Linked DNA regions of Arabidopsis thaliana. The protein of the gene in region 3 interacts with the protein of the main gene of each other region in a biochemical or structural test. Each region holds a gene or a part of one and is shown on either strand. Other genes may lie near its edges.

Evidence for each region.
Region 1: the proteins of SNRK2.2 (region 3) and ABI2 form a complex in vitro, tested with the Arabidopsis thaliana proteins (2 studies listed by BioGRID, with this or other methods).
Region 2: the proteins of SNRK2.2 (region 3) and HAB1 form a complex in vitro, tested with the Arabidopsis thaliana proteins (2 studies listed by BioGRID, with this or other methods).
Region 4: the proteins of SNRK2.2 (region 3) and ABI1 form a complex in vitro, tested with the Arabidopsis thaliana proteins (one study listed by BioGRID).

What each region holds. Positions count from the first base shown.
Region 1 is NC_003076.8:23,085,387-23,090,748, reverse strand, and holds ABI2 (Protein phosphatase 2C family protein), read right to left. Parts: upstream 3,628-5,362; 5' UTR 3,030-3,627; coding exon 2,517-3,029; intron 2,435-2,516; coding exon 2,138-2,434; intron 1,992-2,137; coding exon 1,886-1,991; coding exon of another isoform or gene 1,863-1,885; exon of another isoform or gene 1,802-1,862; coding exon 1,446-1,801; 3' UTR 1,121-1,445; downstream 1-1,120. UniProt on the Arabidopsis thaliana protein: Repressor of the abscisic acid (ABA) signaling pathway that regulates numerous ABA responses, such as stomatal closure, osmotic water permeability of the plasma membrane (Pos), high light stress, response to glucose, seed germination and inhibition of vegetative growth.
Region 2 is NC_003070.9:27,387,886-27,393,907, forward strand, and holds HAB1 (HYPERSENSITIVE TO ABA1), read left to right. Parts: upstream 1-2,062; 5' UTR 2,063-2,362; intron 2,363-2,753; 5' UTR 2,754-3,112; coding exon 3,113-3,859; intron 3,860-3,970; coding exon 3,971-4,318; intron 4,319-4,402; coding exon 4,403-4,508; coding exon of another isoform or gene 4,509-4,528; exon of another isoform or gene 4,529-4,631; coding exon 4,632-4,966; 3' UTR 4,967-5,442; downstream 5,443-6,022. Other genes in the region: AT1G72760 (Protein kinase superfamily protein), read right to left, coding at 65-156, 236-416. UniProt on the Arabidopsis thaliana protein: Key component and repressor of the abscisic acid (ABA) signaling pathway that regulates numerous ABA responses, such as stomatal closure, seed germination and inhibition of vegetative growth. Confers enhanced sensitivity to drought.
Region 3 is NC_003074.8:18,740,699-18,746,162, forward strand, and holds SNRK2.2 (SNF1-related protein kinase 2.2), read right to left. Parts: upstream 3,460-5,464; 5' UTR 3,207-3,459; coding exon 3,030-3,206; intron 2,800-3,029; coding exon 2,725-2,799; intron 2,626-2,724; coding exon 2,524-2,625; intron 2,448-2,523; coding exon 2,394-2,447; intron 2,299-2,393; coding exon 2,185-2,298; intron 1,997-2,184; coding exon 1,904-1,996; intron 1,785-1,903; coding exon 1,680-1,784; intron 1,571-1,679; coding exon 1,472-1,570; intron 1,398-1,471; coding exon 1,107-1,397; 3' UTR 896-1,106; downstream 1-895. Other genes in the region: LBD28 (LOB domain-containing protein 28), read right to left, coding at 4,304-4,900. UniProt on the Arabidopsis thaliana protein: Together with SRK2I, key component and activator of the abscisic acid (ABA) signaling pathway that regulates numerous ABA responses, such as seed germination, Pro accumulation, root growth inhibition, dormancy and seedling growth, and, to a lesser extent, stomatal closure.
Region 4 is NC_003075.7:13,219,319-13,224,431, forward strand, and holds ABI1 (Protein phosphatase 2C family protein), read right to left. Parts: upstream 3,059-5,113; 5' UTR 2,511-3,058; coding exon 1,962-2,510; intron 1,892-1,961; coding exon 1,601-1,891; intron 1,470-1,600; coding exon 1,364-1,469; intron 1,272-1,363; coding exon 913-1,271; 3' UTR 597-912; downstream 1-596. Other genes in the region: MEK1 (MAP kinase/ ERK kinase 1), read left to right, coding at 1-59, 143-188, 282-377. UniProt on the Arabidopsis thaliana protein: Key component and repressor of the abscisic acid (ABA) signaling pathway that regulates numerous ABA responses, such as stomatal closure, osmotic water permeability of the plasma membrane (Pos), drought-induced resistance and rhizogenesis, response to glucose, high light stress, seed germination and inhibition of vegetative growth.

The DNA.
Region 1 (5,362 bases), on a different chromosome or scaffold from region 3:
GAACTCTGTGACTCAATATTCTAGTAAAATTAACCTCAAAGCTCATAGTTGAAGAGTCAAGAGAGATAATTACTTTCGTCCATGCTTTAAGCTATTGCTTATGACCCAGATCTTCAATTTCCCTGCAATCATAATAAAAACATCAGAATTTCACAAGCAGTAATCAAAGACTAGAGATACATTTCAATCAACACAAGACCAACAATACAAAGTGTGATTCGAAAACCCTAGCAGCAACTAACCAAAACTCACACTATAAATTTCAAATCCCCATCAAATCAATCAGCAACCGCGAAAACTTCAAACTCGAGATACGACTCGTCTCTTTAACAAAAATTGAATGTTTTGAGCTCAGTTGTCTACAGGATTAGCTTTACAAATAAATCAATTCGTCGATCCATCGTTTCATTAAATACCGGAAATTGCTCGGAAAAAAAAACAAAGATCGCAGAGAGAGCTCACCGAAGATAAGAGAATCTAGTGCAAGATTTTTCGAAATGAATCTGGCGATTAAACGAAATCTGAATCTGATAATTCAGACAAAAATCGTGTCGTCTCCTCTTTTTCTTCTTCAGTGTTCAACTTCGTCGGCGCTTTAAATGCGTATAAAGCTGAAGAAGAAGAAATTGAAACTCTTGAGAAAGTAAAAAACACTCTTTTACTAACCAACGCTTACTTCTTTCCTTTTTTATGAAATAAGAATAATAAAACAATGTTATTCGAAGAGATTAAATTTTTCACAAGACTAATTTTATTTATATTCTTTCACATTTAAATATGATATTTACCTTTTTGTGTAATTGTTGAATAATGTTGATGTGATAAAAAGATGATTTTTCTTGGGGATAAAAGCTGCCTTACACACCACTTTACAATTAACTTGTGATATAAGTATGTATTATTTTGTCTTCAATCACCTACAATCTAAACATTCACATGGATTTACAAATTATTGTGACGTTTATTCAACCATCCCATATTCTGGTTGGTTTAGTAGATTTAAACAAAATGAAAAAATTATGGTGATGAAGACTAATGTAATTTTTGGTAATGAAAAAATGATGTCAATACTATTGAAACTATATCACTCTAACGAAAACACACACACAAAGAGAAGTTATGAAACATCAAATAATAACACTAAATATTTACGTAGACGAATGTAGTGTTATTACAACTAACCCCAAGATAAAAAAAAATACAAGGGGGCTTTTTGTTTGGAAGTTACACTATTCCCATGTACATTATATATATCATGTTAGTAAAATAAATATAAAAAGATTAAATAATGGTGGGAAGACTAAGAAAGTAAATAACAAATTTAAGCAGGAAATTAATATTACAATGTAATTATTACCTGTTGTTTTATCTTTCTTTTTTCACTAAAGAGAATTTTTACCCACCATCAAAACTTTTTTTTTCACTTTTCTTCCAAACCTTCTTTTTCAATTCAAGGATTTGCTCTTGAATTTCCTTATTCCCTTCAAATCAACCACTACCACACTTATATTGTCTTTGCTTCCTTTTTGCAAAGCCATCTTCGACAAATACTCTGCCGCGGACATTGCTGCAGGATCTTTTCCTTCTCCTCTTTTCTCCGCCGGAAGCAAAGCCTCTCCGGCCATCGCGTTCTTCTTATGCCATAGTAAAATCCGTTTCCGAGCCAAATCGCACACTTCTTCGTTTGTCATTACATCCCAAAGACCATCACTTGCTAAGATGAGACAATCATCTTCTTTTACTCGCCGCACTGAAGTCACTTCTGGATCCGGAATTACTGACGGTTTAAGGTATCTATCGCCTGTTCGCGACGGGTTGTAATGTAAGGAAACAACTAAAAGAACCAAATTCATGGATCATTATCAAGAGAAAGTTAAATAATTACCAATGGATCTTGACATTGCGAGAACACCAAATACACGAGCCCCGTTCCACCGGATTACTTTCCCACCGGCAGCTTCTATCCTCGCCGCTTCATCATCCCTATCCGGCTACACATAAATGTAGACCCAAACGCTATAAGTACATTAACTAATCTATAGAAACATGCTATGATTGGTAACACCATAACAAAAAACCGCAAGTCCTAATGAATATATGATTGTACTAATTCATTCATAGAAACATCTATACTTACTTTGTGATCAACCGACAACGCGAGTGGCGTTTTGCCGCGACACAAAACCGCCCTAGAGTCGCCGCAATTCGCGACAAAGATGTGAGTCGGAAAGACAACCGCAACCACCGAGGTAGACCCAACAGTTTCCGGAGCATGAGCCACAGTTTCAATCTCCGAGTCAACTCTCATAAAAGAGTTGAACAAAGCCTTCTTCCACTTCTCTTGCCACGTGTCACCGTCACAAAACTCCGGTTTCTCCTTCACTATCTCCTCCGTCAAAGCCAGATGCATCCTCTCACGACAATAATTCGCTACCTAAACACACAAAAACAAATGTCAAAAACCAAGTTTTTGCAGTTTCCGATCATATCATATCGAAACCAAATCGATTCATTACCTGAGAACCGCCATGGCCATCGTAAACACCAAAGAAATGAGCACTCAAGTGAGGATTAAATCCATTAGTGACTCGACCATCAAGCAACGAACTAGAAGAAACTTGAAGGAATCTAGGAATCGTTGAGACAGAATCTTCCATCTCTGGTCGTCTACCACAAATCGAAGTCACTCCATATAAAGGAACACACTTGAACTCAAACAGACTTCTACTCTCTGTTCTACTAAGTACTTTCTTCTCACTCTGATTCATCGATCTCGGATCAAACTCATCTGAACCGTTGATTTCATCTCCGGCGGAGATATCCACACCTGCCATAGCAGATGATGATGATGTCAATGAATCTTGTCTTGTATTGATCTCAAAGGAAGAATCTTTCATAGCTCCGTCGCCAGAACAAGAACTTTCCGGTAAAGTAACCCTAGATTCACCGTTGCAATAGCCTCTAAGTCCGGCGTGAGGGTCAGTGAATGGTCTGAATGGAACAGCGACTGCAGGAGAAACTTCGTCCATTAAAGGAGGAAAAAAAAAGAAAAAAGAACTTTCTTGAACTTTAACAAAAACCCAAATCAGGAATCAAAGTTGGGAAGAGAAAGGAGAGAAATTGAAGTTGGATATCTAAGTATTCAAAGAGACAGATGTTAGATTGTTAAAACGCTTGGGTGTAAGAGAAAAGAACGAAAAGTCAGACAGATTTGAACATAATAAAAATTGATGAGAGTGTTGTTAACTTTATTAGATGAAGATGAAGACAAGAAACTCATGACTCATTAGAGGAAAGTGAAGACAACCTTAGCTAGCACATGAAACAGATAGAGAGAGATTTGTCAATTAAAGAACCAAACACACACAAAAAAGAAAAAGCAAACGTTTTCCCGAGGAAAAAAGGACTAAAATCAGAGTTTCCTGGATTCTGGGCAATTCGTTTCAGCCATTTAGAGATTCTGAACTCTCTCTCTCCCTCAATTAATTTCCAACCAAAAAAACTTTTTTTTCTCTTTCTTTCTCACAAACAAATAGTTTAGGGGATAATCAGTTTTAAAGAGAGAGGTCTTTATTTATTAAAAAAAATAGCACAATGTGAGATGTTTTAGTGAACAACAAAGTAATTAGAAAGACTTAAGGAATTGTGGAAACAAAAACAAAGGGTATTTATTTTATTTTGACTTGATTAAATTTTATTTCTTATTCTATTTACTATCGTGTCACCCCTCCATTATTATTGGGTATCTTTATAGAAGTTTTGAATACAGATGTTTTATACGTTTCCTATTTTACCAAAATATCTTGCATTAAACGTTATGAAATTAGATTTAAGATAAATCCAAACTTTTTACATAATGAGTAATTTACTTATTTCACATAAAAATAATATCTCTTAGGAATTGCTCTTTTCTTTTGAGCTTTAATCAAAATTGGTCGACAAAAAACGTAATTTACTTATTTTATACAAAAACAAATTTCTTTTATTTTATTTTTTGTTTAGTGTAACATGCCATATGTCACAAAAATATATTTTATAGTAAAAGATGAAAACACCAAAAAATATACAAATTATGATACAATTTTTATTAGTTTAGTAGAAAATATATTCATCTACACTGACCACACTAGTACATTAATGCTACTAATAAAAATGAGGTACTATAATAATTACAAAATTTACTGACTAGAGAGCTTGCTCTGATATTTTTGGTTCTAGAGTTCAAAATAAAATAATGACAATCGGGTGGATACCAAAAACAGAAAGGAGGAGAATCAAACTCGAGAAGGCAAGAAGTGTTGTGTTGTCAACAGATGATTCTTTTTACTTCCAAAACAATATTGAAGAAAAAAACAATATTGAAGAAAAATAAAATCATTTTCGAAATAACAATCAAATGGGTCCCATTATTGTCGGAAAACAGACCGGATGATCGCCACGTAGACAGAGAGAAAGTCATTAGATTTGGTGAAGAGGATGGCGTGTACGGTGAGAGATCTGTTAGTTGGGATGGCGGGAAAAGATGAGCCGAAGAGGTTCATTGCACTGACATAGACAACACCTCTCTTTTAACTTCCGTAAATATCTTTGTGTTTCCTTTTTTATTTGGTGTCTGTTTTATTTATTTACTTGTTTTTAAACAAAAATAATAATACGTGTTCCATAATCATTGGACCATGTAATGATATGTGAAGTGAAAGTAGCTTTGGTTGGGCAACAAATACACTGAACCAATCGTATAGTTATATAACTAAAAACGTATATATGAATTTCTGTTTTTATTTATTTATTTACGATTTCATGAATATTTTTTATTCACTGGATATGAGTCATGTGACCTTGATTTTATTTTTATTTTTGAGATATACGTAGATAGATAGACGCATGCAATTTCTTTAAAGTTAATTCATTTTTTTTAGGATCTCTCGCAGCTGTCAGATAAAGTAAAATATCTTTCGATATAAAATAAAAAACAAAACCAGCTCATATTGTATAGTATACTATGTGTCACATATTTTGAGATGATCAGTTGCTACACGGATCTGTTAAAACTTAAAAGGTAGTATTGAATAAAGTGGCGGTCACATAGAAGTACAACTAATATCTATTTGTTAAATTTTGTCAATATGATATCAAATACAAAATGATAATAAGAAAATTATATAAAATTAGACCATATTCTTAAATTTTTATACATAAAGCTAAAACATCTAAACTTCATTACAAGGTAAGAGAAATTTGACGAATCTGGAAGTTATTACTGAGTTATTTTCGCTCGAAATAGTAAGTTACCAACTTACCATTTTTGTGAAGCTGCAAAAATAGTGAGACGTGAATCACCTATTGGACTGGGCTAGGCCCA
Region 2 (6,022 bases), on a different chromosome or scaffold from region 3:
TTTGATGCATTATAAGTGTGAAATGTTGTTGCAAGGAGATTGGAAATGATCGATTAATACTAACTCCTTTTCGAGCGCAGAATCCTCTGAAAGGAAGAAAGAATTCATGTGCCTCGTCCGGATTGTCCTGATGAAAATGTCCTCCTGTGTCTCCTACTGCAAAACATACTCCTAATTAGGGTGGCTCTTTGACGTTTTGGTTTCAATGATGAAGAGAAGAGCGAGAGATGCTTACGTTGAACGTGGATAAGGACACATTGTGGAGCATCAGCAACAATATTTTCAACGGCCCATTTCAAGGCGTGTTGGCTGTTCTTGTCCTTATCAATGGCGATCGCCGTGATACTGCCATAGTCCTCCGAGGTCCTTCTAACTCTTCTTGCAGACATGTTAGAATCTTGCTTCCCAAGAAACATGAATAACCTGCTTCACAAGGAAACTATAATACTCATAAATGATCTCATGTCTTCTTTGTCACAAAACACCCACAACCAAGATCGATTGTGTTGTTTTTCTTTTGTCTGGCTTTGCAACCTCAGAGAAGAAACAATGAACAATGAAAAGAAACAGAAAATTGTATTGTGAGATGATGAAGCTTTTAGTGGTTTTACAATTTTTCTAATTTTGGAGGGTTTATTTCTCAAACAACTCAACAGTCTTGTGAAACAAACAAACAAGAATGGAAATTTCCACAAGTCTCAACTTATCTTTAATTAGAGAGTGATTTTTGGGAAGTTGCTGGTGAGATCTAGTTTGTACTATAATGTACGCGTTTCGATTAAAATAAAATTCGATTATACATTATCAAAATATTAAATCGATTATTTTATCTTAATCAGTAAAACAAAGTTTTTAGATAAAAATATTAGTAAAACTAGTCAAACATATGGTTTAGTCTTTTAGGTTTATATAGACTAGAGGTTGAACCAAAAAAGAGAGTAAAATAGACTAGAGAATAGAATGTTATGTTTAAACATGATCACACATCTCAATTTACACACATTTACTTAATTTGAGTTTCGATAATAATGCAACAGCAATATATGTATCTACGAATTTGAAATTTATGAGTACAAAATCTAGAGGTGTAACAAAATATTTATTATTTTCGTCCCTGATCAATCAGAGTAGCCACGTGGGCGGGTGGTAGAAATCGAAATTATTGCGATTATTGACTTGGAAAAAAACAAACACACGTTGCATTTTTTGATTTACGTATCCAAAAAGAACAAAGAAAAAAAGGTAAACGACCAAATAATATAATTTTCTGGGGCTGTCGTCTTCCATCTTTATTTCTTCTTGGCGATATCACCATATCTTATACGTCTCTCGAAAGATTATTACTCTTAAGACGATTCCATTAAACACTGATTGTGAGAACTTGTACTTTAACGTTATCGAAAAGTATACATAAATATTTTTATTTTTTTAGGCTGATTCATTCTTACTGATAACAATAATTTTGTGTTATTCTTTCTTACCTAGAGAGTTCTATAGACAAGTTCGTAACTATAAAACCAATCTTTATTTCTTACTCATAGCTTTCAAAACTAAAACTTGATCAGTTTAAATAAAATATATGGGAAATTTTTGCTGAACCAATATATTACGTGTCAAGATTTCATTGATCCTATTAATACAATTTATTCATTTTACAGTTATATCAAATACAAATTACAACTAAGATACTCACTTATCTACACGTCAGATTGTACAACTAAGATACTCACTTATCTATATCTAATTTTCGTGGTTAATATTACATGTCAAAATTTTATGGAAATAATTAGTGTTTTTCTACTTTATATAAATTTTTATGATATATTTTTTTTTTAAAAAAAGGAAAGAGAAAGAAATCAATTTCCATTTGTAAACATATTTTTGGTTCTGAAAATAAATAAATGGGAAAAAAAGGAATTAAATAACATCTGTTGTTGTTAGCTGATCGACAGGTGTTGCCTGAAGCGACCTTAAAAAAAGAAAAAGGACAAAAAGTTGAAGAAAAAAAGAGGACAAAGTTCACAAAATGATACAAAGACTAATACGTGTCCTTTTATTAATCCTCTTTTGTAATAAATACTCTTTTTTCCTATAAATTATATTACAAAACCAAAGAAAAAAAGGAATAAAAAAAAACAGAGAGAAAAAGCAAACCACACAATATTCTCTTCTCTCTCTCTTTGTTTCGCTGATAGAGAGAGCCTCTCTCTAAGCAATTTAGCTCGAGCGAGAAATAATCCTGAGGGAAGAAAATAAAAAGAAGAAGAAGAAGAAGAACATCTTTACTTTTGTTCTCTCTCTCTCTTCTGTTCGATTTTAATTTTTTTGCAGATGCGAATATCTTCTAAAGATTCATCAACTGGTTAGTTCTTTCTCTCTTCTTTTTTCTTTCCTGATTTTTTTATGTTGTTTTTCTGTGTAGTTAGCTTTTCAATCGGAAGATTTTTGCTATTATGTGTCGAATCTCTCTTGTTGTTTTGAGCTTTGTGTTTAGTTTTGCTTAAGAACAAAGTTTAAATTCATCTTTCTATTTCTGGGTAAAGCTAAAGCTTCTTTTTTAATTTAGATCCAAGGAAACCCATGTTCTACTATATGATTATGGACGTTAATGGTTCGAATTTTTTAGGGCTTTCTTGTGATTGATTTCGCTGATTTTCCCTCCTTTTTCTGGTTTTTGTGTGAATTTTCTTTGACATGACCGTTTGGATAATGATTCGTGAGTTTTTGATTAGTGCTTTGTGATCTCTCAATAGGGTTGAAATCAAGATAAGGATTTGAGAAAAGATCGACGAAGTTGTTGCGATTTTGGGATCAAGAGAGTGATATAATCGAGTGAGGAGAATTCGTCGTATAGATTCGTCAGATCTGGTTATCTCCGGTACTTAATTCTCCTTGATTCGTCGTTTTAACTATGCTAAGTTAGTGTATGAATAAAGCGGCATTTGGGTCGCTGACAAAAACTTATTTGGAGCAAGGATTCTTCAACATCATGAAACCATTGCTTAGAGTATTCGAAGAAGAAGATGAAAACAATTGATTTCTCCTAAGTCCATCTTTGAAATTTAAAGCTTTGTTGTGGTGTGGTGTGGAAATCTCTGATTTTGGAGAGCTCATGGAGGAGATGACTCCCGCAGTTGCAATGACTCTTAGCTTAGCAGCCAACACCATGTGTGAATCATCACCTGTCGAGATCACTCAGCTAAAGAACGTTACTGATGCAGCTGACTTGTTATCTGATTCTGAAAATCAAAGCTTTTGCAACGGAGGGACTGAATGCACTATGGAAGATGTTTCTGAACTGGAAGAGGTAGGTGAACAGGATTTGTTGAAAACTTTATCCGATACGAGAAGCGGGTCTTCCAATGTTTTTGATGAAGACGATGTATTGTCTGTTGTGGAGGATAATAGTGCTGTCATAAGTGAGGGCTTGTTAGTTGTTGATGCAGGCTCTGAATTAAGCTTGTCTAATACAGCTATGGAAATAGATAACGGGCGAGTTCTTGCAACCGCGATTATCGTAGGCGAATCAAGCATTGAGCAGGTTCCCACCGCGGAAGTTCTTATCGCGGGTGTAAATCAGGATACCAATACTTCGGAGGTTGTCATTAGATTGCCAGATGAAAATAGTAATCATCTGGTGAAAGGGAGAAGTGTTTATGAACTAGATTGTATACCGCTTTGGGGCACGGTTTCCATTCAAGGGAATAGATCTGAGATGGAGGATGCTTTTGCCGTGTCACCTCATTTTCTGAAACTACCCATCAAAATGCTTATGGGGGACCATGAGGGTATGAGTCCAAGCCTCACACACCTCACCGGTCATTTTTTCGGTGTTTATGATGGTCATGGAGGCCATAAGGTATGCTATATTCACATTTTATGTAAGTTGTTTTAGCAATGTAGATTGTTATACACCTCTTTGAGATGTTCTGGTTAAATTCATAGATTTTAAATCTACAATGGCTTGTAGGTTGCTGACTATTGCCGAGATAGACTCCATTTTGCTTTGGCTGAAGAAATAGAACGTATAAAAGACGAATTATGCAAGAGGAATACAGGAGAGGGTAGGCAGGTGCAGTGGGATAAAGTCTTCACGAGTTGTTTTCTAACTGTCGATGGTGAGATTGAAGGAAAAATTGGTAGAGCCGTTGTTGGTTCTTCTGATAAGGTTCTTGAGGCTGTTGCGTCTGAGACCGTAGGATCAACTGCTGTTGTTGCCTTGGTTTGCTCATCACATATAGTAGTTTCTAACTGCGGTGATTCGAGGGCGGTTTTATTCCGTGGCAAAGAAGCCATGCCCTTGTCAGTTGATCACAAAGTAAAATGAACTTCCTTTTCTTTCCCCAATCTAACTTACAAAGTTGATAAAAGTGTTTTCTTACCTCCTTCCATTTTTCTGCAGCCAGATAGAGAGGATGAATATGCAAGAATAGAAAATGCTGGAGGCAAAGTTATACAATGGCAAGGCGCACGTGTTTTTGGTGTTCTCGCCATGTCTAGGTCCATCGGTAAGCATTGCTTCTTTTGATGACCAGTAATGCACATCACACAAACGTGGCTTGATAATGTAATTACTCCCCTACATGAAACATTAGATCCTCCGGTTTCTTTCCTCCTCTGGAACTATGCAGGTGACAGATATCTGAAGCCATATGTGATCCCAGAACCGGAAGTGACATTCATGCCTCGGTCAAGAGAAGACGAGTGTCTCATACTAGCCAGTGACGGTCTTTGGGATGTAATGAACAACCAAGAAGTCTGCGAAATAGCAAGGAGACGGATATTGATGTGGCACAAGAAGAACGGTGCACCGCCTCTAGCAGAGAGAGGCAAAGGAATAGATCCAGCTTGCCAAGCCGCAGCTGACTACCTCTCAATGCTTGCTCTACAAAAAGGAAGTAAAGACAACATCTCCATCATTGTGATTGACTTGAAAGCTCAAAGAAAGTTCAAGACCAGAACCTGAAGCTTAATTACAAGCAGTACGCTTACTTACTTTTTTTTTTACTGGGGGTAAGTTTCGAGTTTTCGTATAATTTAGATCGTTAAGGATCTAATTTCGACAGGTTTTTACATGTTAATTACTCAATATTGTTAGAAGGGAGAAAAAATAAAGAAAAAAAATGGAAATGCGGGTTGGGGAGGAGAAGTAAAGACTAAAGACTGAAGATTAAGAAGATGATGCATAGCTAATTATAAGTACATTCCTTTTTTTCTCATGGTACTTGAATTCGTATGTATAAGAAGAAATAGGCAGAGAAATGCTTTTTTTTTTTGGGGTATTGAAATAGTTGAATATGTTGTAATAGTTTGAGAGATGTGGCAAATGAAATTGTAATTGAAACTATGTCACATTAACCTTCTTGCATTTGTCTTTTCATGTTGTGTTCTTCGCTGTTCTATAACTTAACGGTGAGATGAGAGTTTATTGGGGGTTTAACCACAGGTCGATTTTTATTTTGATGTTAAGTATTGATAAAGCAATACACTTAGCAAAAGGTGGACGTGCCGGAGTGGTTATCGGGCATGACTAGAAATCATGTGGGCTTTGCCCGCGCAGGTTCGAATCCTGCCGTTCACGTTTTTCATTTTTTTTTCTGTTATCATCACATTTTCCATAACTTACCTTAATCATCTAACATTTTAGAGTCTTTACGAAATGTTAATATTTCTTTTCTTAAATTGAGTAGAAATAGAAATCAACCTCATACCTACAAATGTGGAAGTGACGTGTGAAACCGTAAGTGTATTTAAATCAAACTTAGAAAGCTGTTAATCATTGGCACCACATAAAATCTAGCTTGTGAGAGAAAGTTTATCGTTTTTAGATAAGTTATCAAGATAACAAGACTTGATTAGATTATAGTATGTTGCCTTTGACGGTTTGGCCTGGCCATTTGTAAAAGCCACGACAACACCGGCTCTCATATAATTATTAAAAGACTAATTAGTAATCACGGCCTCAGCTTCACATAGAAAACGTGTTTATTAACACGTTAGACATATGATTCCGTTGAACAAT
Region 3 (5,464 bases):
AAAACTATTTATAAATAGCAATGTTTCATGCATAACAAAACATCAAAACTATAAAACCCAAATTATATTCTGATCCACAAAATTTTCAATAGAAAATATACTATACACATTATGCTATGACCAAATTCCGGCTCCATCGCAAACCATTAACCACTTACGTCCCAAAATCACAACACCAGAAAATTTGTTTCCGTCAATATTGAAAATTATAGTATTCACATGTTTCTTACTGCACGAAAAAGGTAAATTGTTATTCTTATCCTATGCAAATTTAACATGTTCTAATTTTAAATCAGAAAAATCCTCTAAAAGTTTAACTATTAGTTACATTTCTTTGTTCTCCTTATTTTAACTTTTCGAATCATATTAACATAGTTTTTGTAACATAAATATCTTCTCTTTAGCTTTTTTTTTACAGAAGAAGATTTTTGTCATGTGTCAAAAGTTGATCATGAATTGGAGAGAAGTAGTAATGATTCCTTGATGAATTATCGTAATGCCAATAGTCGTTGCCAATAGTCAATAGACATTGCATTACCAAGCATTCTCCACAGAAAACATGTCTTTTACATAATCTAGGGTAGAAAATATTTATACAAATTTTTCATCCACACACAAATCTACATTATGGTATCATAAAATGCTAAATCTTTTCATCAATATAGACAGTTTAAGTTTTACTAATTGCAAATCTTAATCAAATGTCTAGCGGCATGATCAAAGCTGATGATCATAAGCCATGTCCTCCATCACGATGTCGAATAACACTATACATGAAATCGTGTGTCGTGTGAAACATAGATCATAACATTCTTAACCAAGACTCAAGCTAAGCTCCATCTCAGAACCTTGTGGGTTAGTTACATTTCTTTTTCTAGTACCATATCATTTGTATAAAATGTGCCAATAGTTATTAAACAAAGAGAAATACATAGAATATATTACATATTACATTACAATACATATATATGTATGTGAATCCAAAGCTTGTAGAGTAAAAAACAACAAACGATCCAAAAATGAACGATGGAGTGCGTGGAGCTAAGACAAAACTCCAGTGGTGTGTCTCAACAGTACGGACAAAACAGACTTTGTCCTCAGGAATCTCAGAGAGCATAAACTATCTCTCCACTACTGTCAACATCAATCTCAGATTCGGAATCAAAGTCATCCATGTCATCGTCTAGATCAAGATTATCCGCCATGAAATCATCGAGGCAACGATTACGAACAGTCGGAATCGTAGCCTCCGATATTATCTGCATAATCGTGTCAAGGCTCTGCATTGGCTGCTCAGGCTCTTGAAACTGACTTCCCATTCGGTTCTCATCCATCAAATCACCTGGTAGATTCTTCAAGAACCATTTATCGGATGTGATCTCCGGAATAGTGATTCTCTGCCACATTGGATCTCTCAGTTTGTCTATTTAGAACTCAAAGAACAAAGTTTTCTTTGAAATGTAAAACTTACTGTTGCCGGATCAGCCACGAAGATCCTCGATATTAGATGGCGACATTCTGGTGAGAGGTGTAAGTCCTCTGGGATCGAGTATGTGACACTAAGGATTCTCTGCGTTTTAAAATCAGTGGAGAAGCAAACATATACAATCAACGTTTGAAAGATAATGAGTTTGTGAATGATGATGAATGAGACAGCAAGAACAATTGAAAAACATTACTTGTATTGTCTTTCGATAATCTCGTGGCTCCTGTGGATCCTCGAATGGATAAGCTCCAACCAACATTACATATAATGTTACACCGCAAGACCATACATCTGCAAGCTGGAAAAATGTAACACCAGCTATTTCAGAGGACAACTCAAAGAATATTTGTGGTATAAACAGTCATATGGATAAGCTGGTTTGAACTCTAGACAGAGGAATTGGTCTCATGGCCTTACCTTGCCATCATATTCCTGTCGAAGAAGAATCTCTGGTGCAATGTATGCAGGAGTACCAACAGTTGACTTTGGTTGGGAATGAAGAACAGAAGACTGAAGAAAAGAAACGCATAGTTAATACTTGAGCAGAAATCAAAGCGAAAACAGACACTTAGTAGGAAACACATGTAGGTAAAGAGCATGAACGATAAGAAGCACAACGAGGAATCACAAGATGTCCCCCGCTGTTCTGCGCTTGGCCATACAGTAGCATATATAAACTTAGAATTCAGAAAACAAACCTTGAGAGAAATAAATAGTACCTTGGAATAACCAAAATCACATATTTTCAAACGAGGTGCCGGACTTCCATCTAACAATGTATTTTCCAGCTTCAGATCCCGATGGCATATTTGCTTCACAGGAAAATCAAACACAGAATTAAAACCAGAGTGGTATACACGAGAACGAGAAAAGTTCAAGTAAGTTGCAAGAACACTGCTCTGCGTACCATTGCATGACAATAGCTAACTCCAGATATAAGCTGCTGAAAGAAGAACCGAGCCTATACATAAAAAAACTTAAAGATCAGTAGTCACACATCAATACCACAACACAGTACGATAAATCAGAATCCAAACCTCATCTTCACTAAACCGTCCGGCATTACAAATCCGCTCATAAAGTTCTCCACCAGCAGCATATTCCATAACAATAGCCAAATGGGAAGGCGTCAAAATCACCTAAACCATTACAAAAACACACACAAAACAAACTCTAAACCACACTGACTTAATACACAAACACACACAGAAGAAACATCAAGGTGTATTATATTATACCTCTTTAAACCTAACAATATTAGGATGTCTCAATGATCTATGATTGATAATCTCCCTCTGAACATTTTCATCAATCTGCAAAACAACCATAAAAAAAAGTATCATCATTTATTGAGAAATATCAAAACTTTTCAAAAGCATTTAATCATAGTAACAGTAAGTAACCACCATTAAAGACACTAGATCAACAAGCTCTAAAAAGGAAAGCTACTAAATCTGGAAACTAAAAATAATCGATCATCAATCAATCACTAAAGCCTATAAATATCAAATCTTTTTTTCATTCAAAAAAAAAAAGACGAAACCTTTTCTCCTCTCTCGATGTATTTAACAGCAACAAGCTCCTTGGTGACTCTATCGGTCATGAGACGAGCAACGCCGAAATTACCAGAGCCAATATCTTTAACGAAGTCGTAACGATCACTGTCGTGCATAATCGGTAAATCAATCGGCATAATCGGTGAATTAGTCGCCGGATCCATTTTTTCTGATTCTTCTCTTCCTCTATTGCTCTTCCTAATCACATCAGATTAAGTCGAAGAATCTTCTGGAGTAGCTGGAATCTAGAAGAAGAAGAAGGAGAAAAATATCTAAGGAAGGATATGAATTTGGGGGAAAAAGATGGATCAACGACGAATGAGAAAGACAAAGGCAATTATTGGTCGCTCTCTAAGTTAGATAAGAGGAGAGAGATGTTTGCAACGACACCGTTTTCTTTGTTTTAGTTATCTGATTTGATACGACAAAGGCCGCCGCGTTTTGGTGATTTTTTTTTTTTTTTTTTCAAATATTTTTTTTTTTGGTTTTTTTAGGTATCAATATTAATTTTACTGTTCTATATTATCAACACAATTTGGTTGCTCCTAAAATTTGTAATTGAATGAGTACGAATTGTGAGGTGAGTAAATTGTTATGTCTTTCTTAAATTAATTATGTGAATGTCTCATGTATATATGTATTGTTTTACCTTCACTTGTACTTGTTTACTTCCAAAATATCCCAACTTTATGTGGGTGATTGTGGTCGTATTTTGAGCCAAGTCAGAAATTGTTTTTGTCACGAACAAAAAAAAGCTTCTTATAGATCATATAAGACGTTTTCACGTACACAGCAATGTTACATTAACCTTTTTCTAATTTTATAACTCTTGTCTAGTCGTTTGTACATAACTACAAGTGCACCTTTATTATTTTGTTATGGCAGAGTGTAGTTCTACACAAGGTCCTTGTTGAATGTTGGAGTATTTGTAAAAGAAATAATCAAATTGACTAAGGATCCTGATTAGAAATGTTAAGGTTTACGGCTTGAACTGCCGCTGAGTTTATTAACGTAAAGATAGTGATGAGGCAAAAAGTACTTTTTCGAATCTTAAAAACCAAAAAAAGCTCCGTTACCGGGAATCGAACCCGGGTCTCCTGGGTGAAAGCCAGATATCCTAACCGCTGGACGATAACGGATGTTTTGTTAACTAAAAACAATAATTGTATTTATATCTTAATGTAGTTATACAAACGACTAGACAAGACTTAAAAAGATTTTAAAAGCTTACCATTGTTATCAAGATTCAATATGATAATGATTAATGTAGGTTAAAGCATGGTCCAAATTTTTGATAAGAACTTTTGTCACGGTAACTCTCCTCATCGTGCTGCATCTGCGTCTCTTGCATTTGAGCGCTTTGTGTGGATGCAAAACGTTGAGCCTCGTTATACAACTGTTGACCCGTTAAACAACCACCGTTATTAGGTGTGTGTTCCGGTATCATCATAGGATTGTTATGCATTTCCAGATTCGTCATCGAAGGTGGTGGCACAAATGTGGGGACGATACAGTAAGAGGCAAGTTCGTTCTTGACGATCGCGAGTTGTTCTTCCAAGTCTTTAATCTGACTAAGGAGGTTGTAAATGATACCCAGACAGCCATTGACCGGATCATTGGCTTGAACTTGTGCCTCCCAAGCGAGCGTGTCCATGGCAAATTCTCTTTGGCATGGGTGAAGACTGTTGATAAGTGTAGCCACATGGCTTGCTCCAAATACCTTGTGAACCGCTTCGTAGTTGTCCAGTTTAGTCGAGGGGAAGTAAGGCGCAAACACACAATCTTCTGTGCATTTTCTCCTCAGGTGCTTGCATGCCGCGCATGGTGTCGATATTTTGTCCATTTGATGAAACATCATAATCTGTGAAAGAAAGAAAGAAAATGTAATTGTACATTTTTGATCATTTCTAGAATATATACAAAATACATTTAAATATAGGATATATCGAAATACATGATGTAATTTTTTCCTTTTAAACTGAATCAAACAAACATATTTACAGAATCTTTTTCTTAAACACGAAAATCCGAAACATGAAAAAAACAAAAACAAAAGGGAAAATCGTATGCCTAGGTCTATACACGAACTGAAAAAAAAAAATCACAACCTACGAATTTTTATGTGAATTCTAAACAGTAAAGAGATTAAGGTTTCTAAATAATATAGTAATCAGAATAGCCAATCAAAATCGTGGATTGCGTTGTACTGCACTCAAATATGTTAGAGAAGGTGTGAAGATGAAAACACAAACCTCAATGCATAATAAGAAGATGAATCTAATCAAGCGAATATCACCTGATTTCTAAACCCTATATATTAATAGAGATAAAGAATGGATATAAAATGAAATCAAATCGGTATTTATATGAAAATAAAAAAGGAAGATGAATAGAGAGATTCAGTTTTTAACCTAAACACAAT
Region 4 (5,113 bases), on a different chromosome or scaffold from region 3:
CCTCCTTGTGCACCTTCCAATCTCTTTTCTCCAGAGTTTTGCTCCTTCATCTCGCAATGGTGAGACAGATTTCGACCAGTTGTCATGTCATTTTTGTTGCTATAACGAGTAGGCATTTGAAATGGTGCTTTAACTTGTGTAGTGTACAAAAAGATCCAAGGGACAGAAAATCAGCAAAGGAGCTTCTGGTGCGTTAATCATATAAGACTCTGAGTCTTTCACCTTGTACTGTCTTGGACTACTTTTAACGATCTTTTTTCTGGTTCCATCTTGGTGAATAGGAACACAAGTTCGTAAAGATGTTTGAAGATTCGGATACAAATCTCTCGGCTTACTTCACCGACGCAGGATCTTTGATTCCCCCACTTGCTAACTAGAACCGAGTTTGAACAATCTTTTAACCTCCAAGTTATTATTTCATATCCACTAGAAGAGATTTTATGAAAGATAAATTTACGAGATGTTATGACTTAAGAGACTTGTCTACAAAATTTGATTTAATGTGTGTACTTTTCACATCACTATTATAAACACAACTATCATCAGTTATGTTTCTCTGCTAGTGGTGGATATACTTATATAGTAGTTCATATCATTATACACATTTTGTTTTGTACATAGTTTAAGTATCTTTCTATTTTCGTATGTAAAGTTTTGAAAGTAATTGCATAAACAATAATACTACATCTTAATGTATGTTGTAACCATATTACAATTAGCCCGGGAAGAAAAATACAAGGGGCTTTTTAGAATGTAGTCAAGACAAAAGAGCTTAACACATTAAGCTTCATTATCTCCATATGGTTATAACTTGTTAGTTAAAAAAATAAGCACAAATTAATAATAGTAAATACTTTTTCTTGGAGAGACCCATATTCATTTTAAAAATTAAGAAAAAGGACCCTCTCTGCCTCAGTTCAAGGGTTTGCTCTTGAGTTTCCTCCGAGGCTTCAAATCAACCACCACCACACTTATGTTGTCTTTGCTTCCTCTCTGTATCGCCAGCTTTGACAAATACTCAGCCGCGGACATCGCCGCAGGATCTTTCCCTTCCTTTCTCCGCTCATCCGCGAGCAACGATGCATCCCCAGCCACCGCGTTTTTCTTGTGCCACAAGAGAATCCGCTTCCTTGCCATCTCACACGCTTCTTCATCCGTCATTACATCCCAAACCCCGTCACTCGCCAAAATCAGACAATCATCTTCTTTTACTCTCTTCACAGCCGTCACTTCCGGATCAGGAATGATGGATGGTTTCAAGTATCTATCGCCTGTCACAATGATAAATGTTTGTAAGAAGAAAGGTTTCTTCTATTTCAAGAACCATTGAGAAGCTTTATGGAGAAATATAATGAAAGCTTACCAATGGATCTCGACATGGCGAGAACACCGAAAACACGAGCTCCATTCCACTGAATCACTTTCCCTCCTGCGGCTTCAATCCTCGCAGCTTCATCTTCTCTATCCGGCTACACACATAACACAAGCACACATCAGAAATGGTTTCATAAACCTCTCTAACTCAACATCTTGAAAACTAAAAACCTATCACAAGTTCACAACCAATCCAACTATAGATCTTGAGTCTATATATGCTTACTTTATGGTCAACGGATAATGGAAGTGCAGTTTTGCCGCGGCAAAGAACGGCTCTAGAGTCACCGCAGTTAGCGACGAAGATGTGAGACGGGAAAACAACGGCAACCACCGACGTTGACCCAACCGTCTCCGGCGCAACTGACTCAATCTCCGAGTCAACTCTCAGGAACGAGTTGAAAAGAGCTTTCTTCCACTTCTCCAGCCACGTATCACCATCGCAGAGCATCGGTTTCTCCTTAGCTATCTCCTCCGCCAAAGCCAAATGCATCCTCTCTCTACAATAGTTCGCTACCTACACAACAACAACCAAATCAGATTCTGCAAACTGTAAACAACCCTAATCAAAAGATCCAATCTTTTACCTGAGAACCGCCATGGCCGTCGTAAACACCGAAGAAATGAGCGGCGGATTGAGGATCAAACCGACCATCTAACATCGAACCAGAGGAAGATTGAAGGAATCTTGGTATAGTCGAAACAGCATCTTCCATCTCAGGTCTTCTTCCACAAATCGAAGTAAAACCATACAAAGGCACACTCTTGAATTCAAACAAACTCCTACTCTCTGTTCTGCTGATCATCTTCTTCTCGCTAGTAATATCTGAGCCGTTGATCTCATCTCCGGCGGAGATATCAACGACGACTATATCAGCAGCTGCTGATTCCTTCATGTTTAAATTAGGAGAATTGATCCGAGAAATCAAAACTTTCCTAGATTCAGAACCATGTGACCCAGAAACAGAGCATGATGAAGTCTCCGGTAACGAAACCATTAGATCTCCGTTCTCGGAATCTTGATTTGAGTATTGGTTATTGCAGTAACCTTTACCCAATCTGATCCCGGTGAAATCCATCTGGGTTTCGGAGAATGGCCTGAAAGGACCTGCGATCGCCGGAGATACTTCCTCCATTAACGGTAAAGATTTGATCTTTTTCTCTGGTTGTGATCTATAAGATAGCTCCAATGGAACAAAAATGAAAATTCGAGAGATTTTCACAAGAGAAGGACTTTATTAGAAGAAGCTAGGAAGACAAGAAGAAACACATGACTCCTATGAAAAAGGAAAGCAAAAACAGAGAGACATATACCCAAAAATATTTCCCGGGAAAATCACAAACACAGAAAGAAAGAAATGAATTGAATTTCAATAAGGGTTTCCTGGATTGTGGGTAATTCGTTAGGACCTCTTGAAAAGATTGGTGTAGTAATATCTCTCTCTCTTCAATTAATTTCCAACTATAAAACTATTTCTAGATTCATCTATATACACCTAAAAAAGTTGAAAAGAAGAGTTCTAATGTGCCTTGTTCACAGATAGAAGAGAGAAAGAAGGAGGAAATGGGTAGGCTAATGCAACAATTGCTTCGAATCTACTATTTATGTATGTATACTTATATACATATCACTTTATTTTATTACATTATTAAAGTGATACTTTTTTTGGCTTATTTATTTTTTGTAATAAGGGGAGATGTTTCGTTCTTGAAATTTTAAACTATTTAATTCATAAAAAGACACTTGCTTCAGACTTCCTATATTCAACATTTTTTTTAAAAAAAATGCTTTTATCATTTCTTATTTTTTTAACAAACATAAAGTTTTTTGGTTTTTTTTTTCTTTGGGAGAAATATATTTCTTTTTTGTTTGTCAAACAAAATAAAATATGTTTGCTTTTAACTTTAGTTAGGTCATCAGTTTAATGGATTTTATATTTTCATAAAGATGACTTTCATTAAATGACGTGTCGTAGTCCGAGTTAAATCTTGTATTGTTTTGCAATTATTTTATTTGTCATATAGTTTTCAATCTAAATAAATAGAGTTTGAATTACGAAAACATTATTCGTAATTCCTAATCATTGGACTAAAAAACACCAAACATAATATACCATTTAGATATTCATAGATTTAAATAAAAATTTTAAATTTGTGTCATTTTCAGAATAAGAACAATACTTTGTCCTTTAGATAAGAATTCAATGTTTTATATTCGGGAAAAATGAAAGACCACCGGTAAAATATCTAAATAATTGTTATTTAAGGGGTACGTTTCATTATTCATCTAATTATTTATCTTGAAAACCATTTTTGGTCAAACTCAAAACCAAAACCATTATGAAGTTATCGTCTCATTTATTTATGTGACCAAAAATAATAACTGAATCTTAGTTGTTAGAAAAATTGGTCTTTGTAGTTTCATACAAAAAATCAAGAAAAGAGATTTGTCGTGCAATTATAAAAATACGTTACAATTATATAAAGCTTTTTCAAATTCCAGTATATAATTTTCTTCTCAATTTATCCTTAAGGGAAATGAAGAGTTGGTCATGGAAGTCCATTAAATTCGACCAAATTTTTAGTTTTTTTTATTGACCAGAAAAGACAGTACAAAACATAAAATTATTGTTGTCGCAGTATATATATAAAATAAAAAGATGATTCCGAAGGTATTTTGATGGATAGACTCATGGACATAATTATGCAACGACCCAAAGAACATGAAAGAATCCGTCCAATTTTTTAAAATAAAATAAAAATGTGAATAGGTCCCACGTTTAGCAGAAAACAAAAACCGGTGGATGGTCGACACGTAGACGAAGAAAATGGGAAGGAGAGAGGGTGACGTGTACGGTTTAAGATGTGTTAGTTGGGTGGCGGGAGAGATTTGATCGAAAGAAAAAAAGGTTCATTGCACTGACAAAGACAGGTCCCCCTTTTATATTATTTTTCTTTCGTCCCATTAAATTCCGTAAATATCTTGTCTTTAAACTCTCTTTTTTCCTCTCCTCATTATTATTCTATTTTCTCTAATATCTCAATAAATATTTATTCGTCAACAGATAGATAAAAAAGAAGTATTTATTCATGTTCCATATGTTTGATGCCACTTGTGCGGTTTTCTTTGGACAATGTGTAATGATATGTTATTCATATGGGAGATGTGTGAAAGTGGGCTTTGGATGATGGGCAAGAGACAAAATACCCAAGACACCTCAAATACAATGTACCAATCATCTACCGTTTTTTTTTTACAAATTATTACAAAAGTAGAAAAAACATTGATTTTTTATTGAAAGCTATTTCTTTTAGATAAACTGAGAAGAAAGCCGAGACAAATATGAACACTAGTAATTTATTTTGTTTAATGTGTGATTAATTGAATTTGTTAGCTTTCCTTGCGATTGCGGGCAAAGTGGATAAGAGAAGTAGAAGTAGGTTTGTTCTAACTCGTAATAAAGTCACAGAACTAATTCTAAAGAACGGTACATATATCATCATTCATAAGTACTTGATGTCTCCCATTTTCGGTGAAACACTTTACTTGACCAGTCTTTTTAATATGCAACAAATCTTGTATATATTCAACATAAAAAAAATGCACCATCATTGGAATTGTTGACCCAACAAAAAAACCCTATAGGCATTAAAAGGCTCTTAGAGGGCCAATTTTGTTATCGGGCCTTCACTTGGCCAGTAGAAATTACAAGCATGCAAACAACAGTTCGAGACTTCG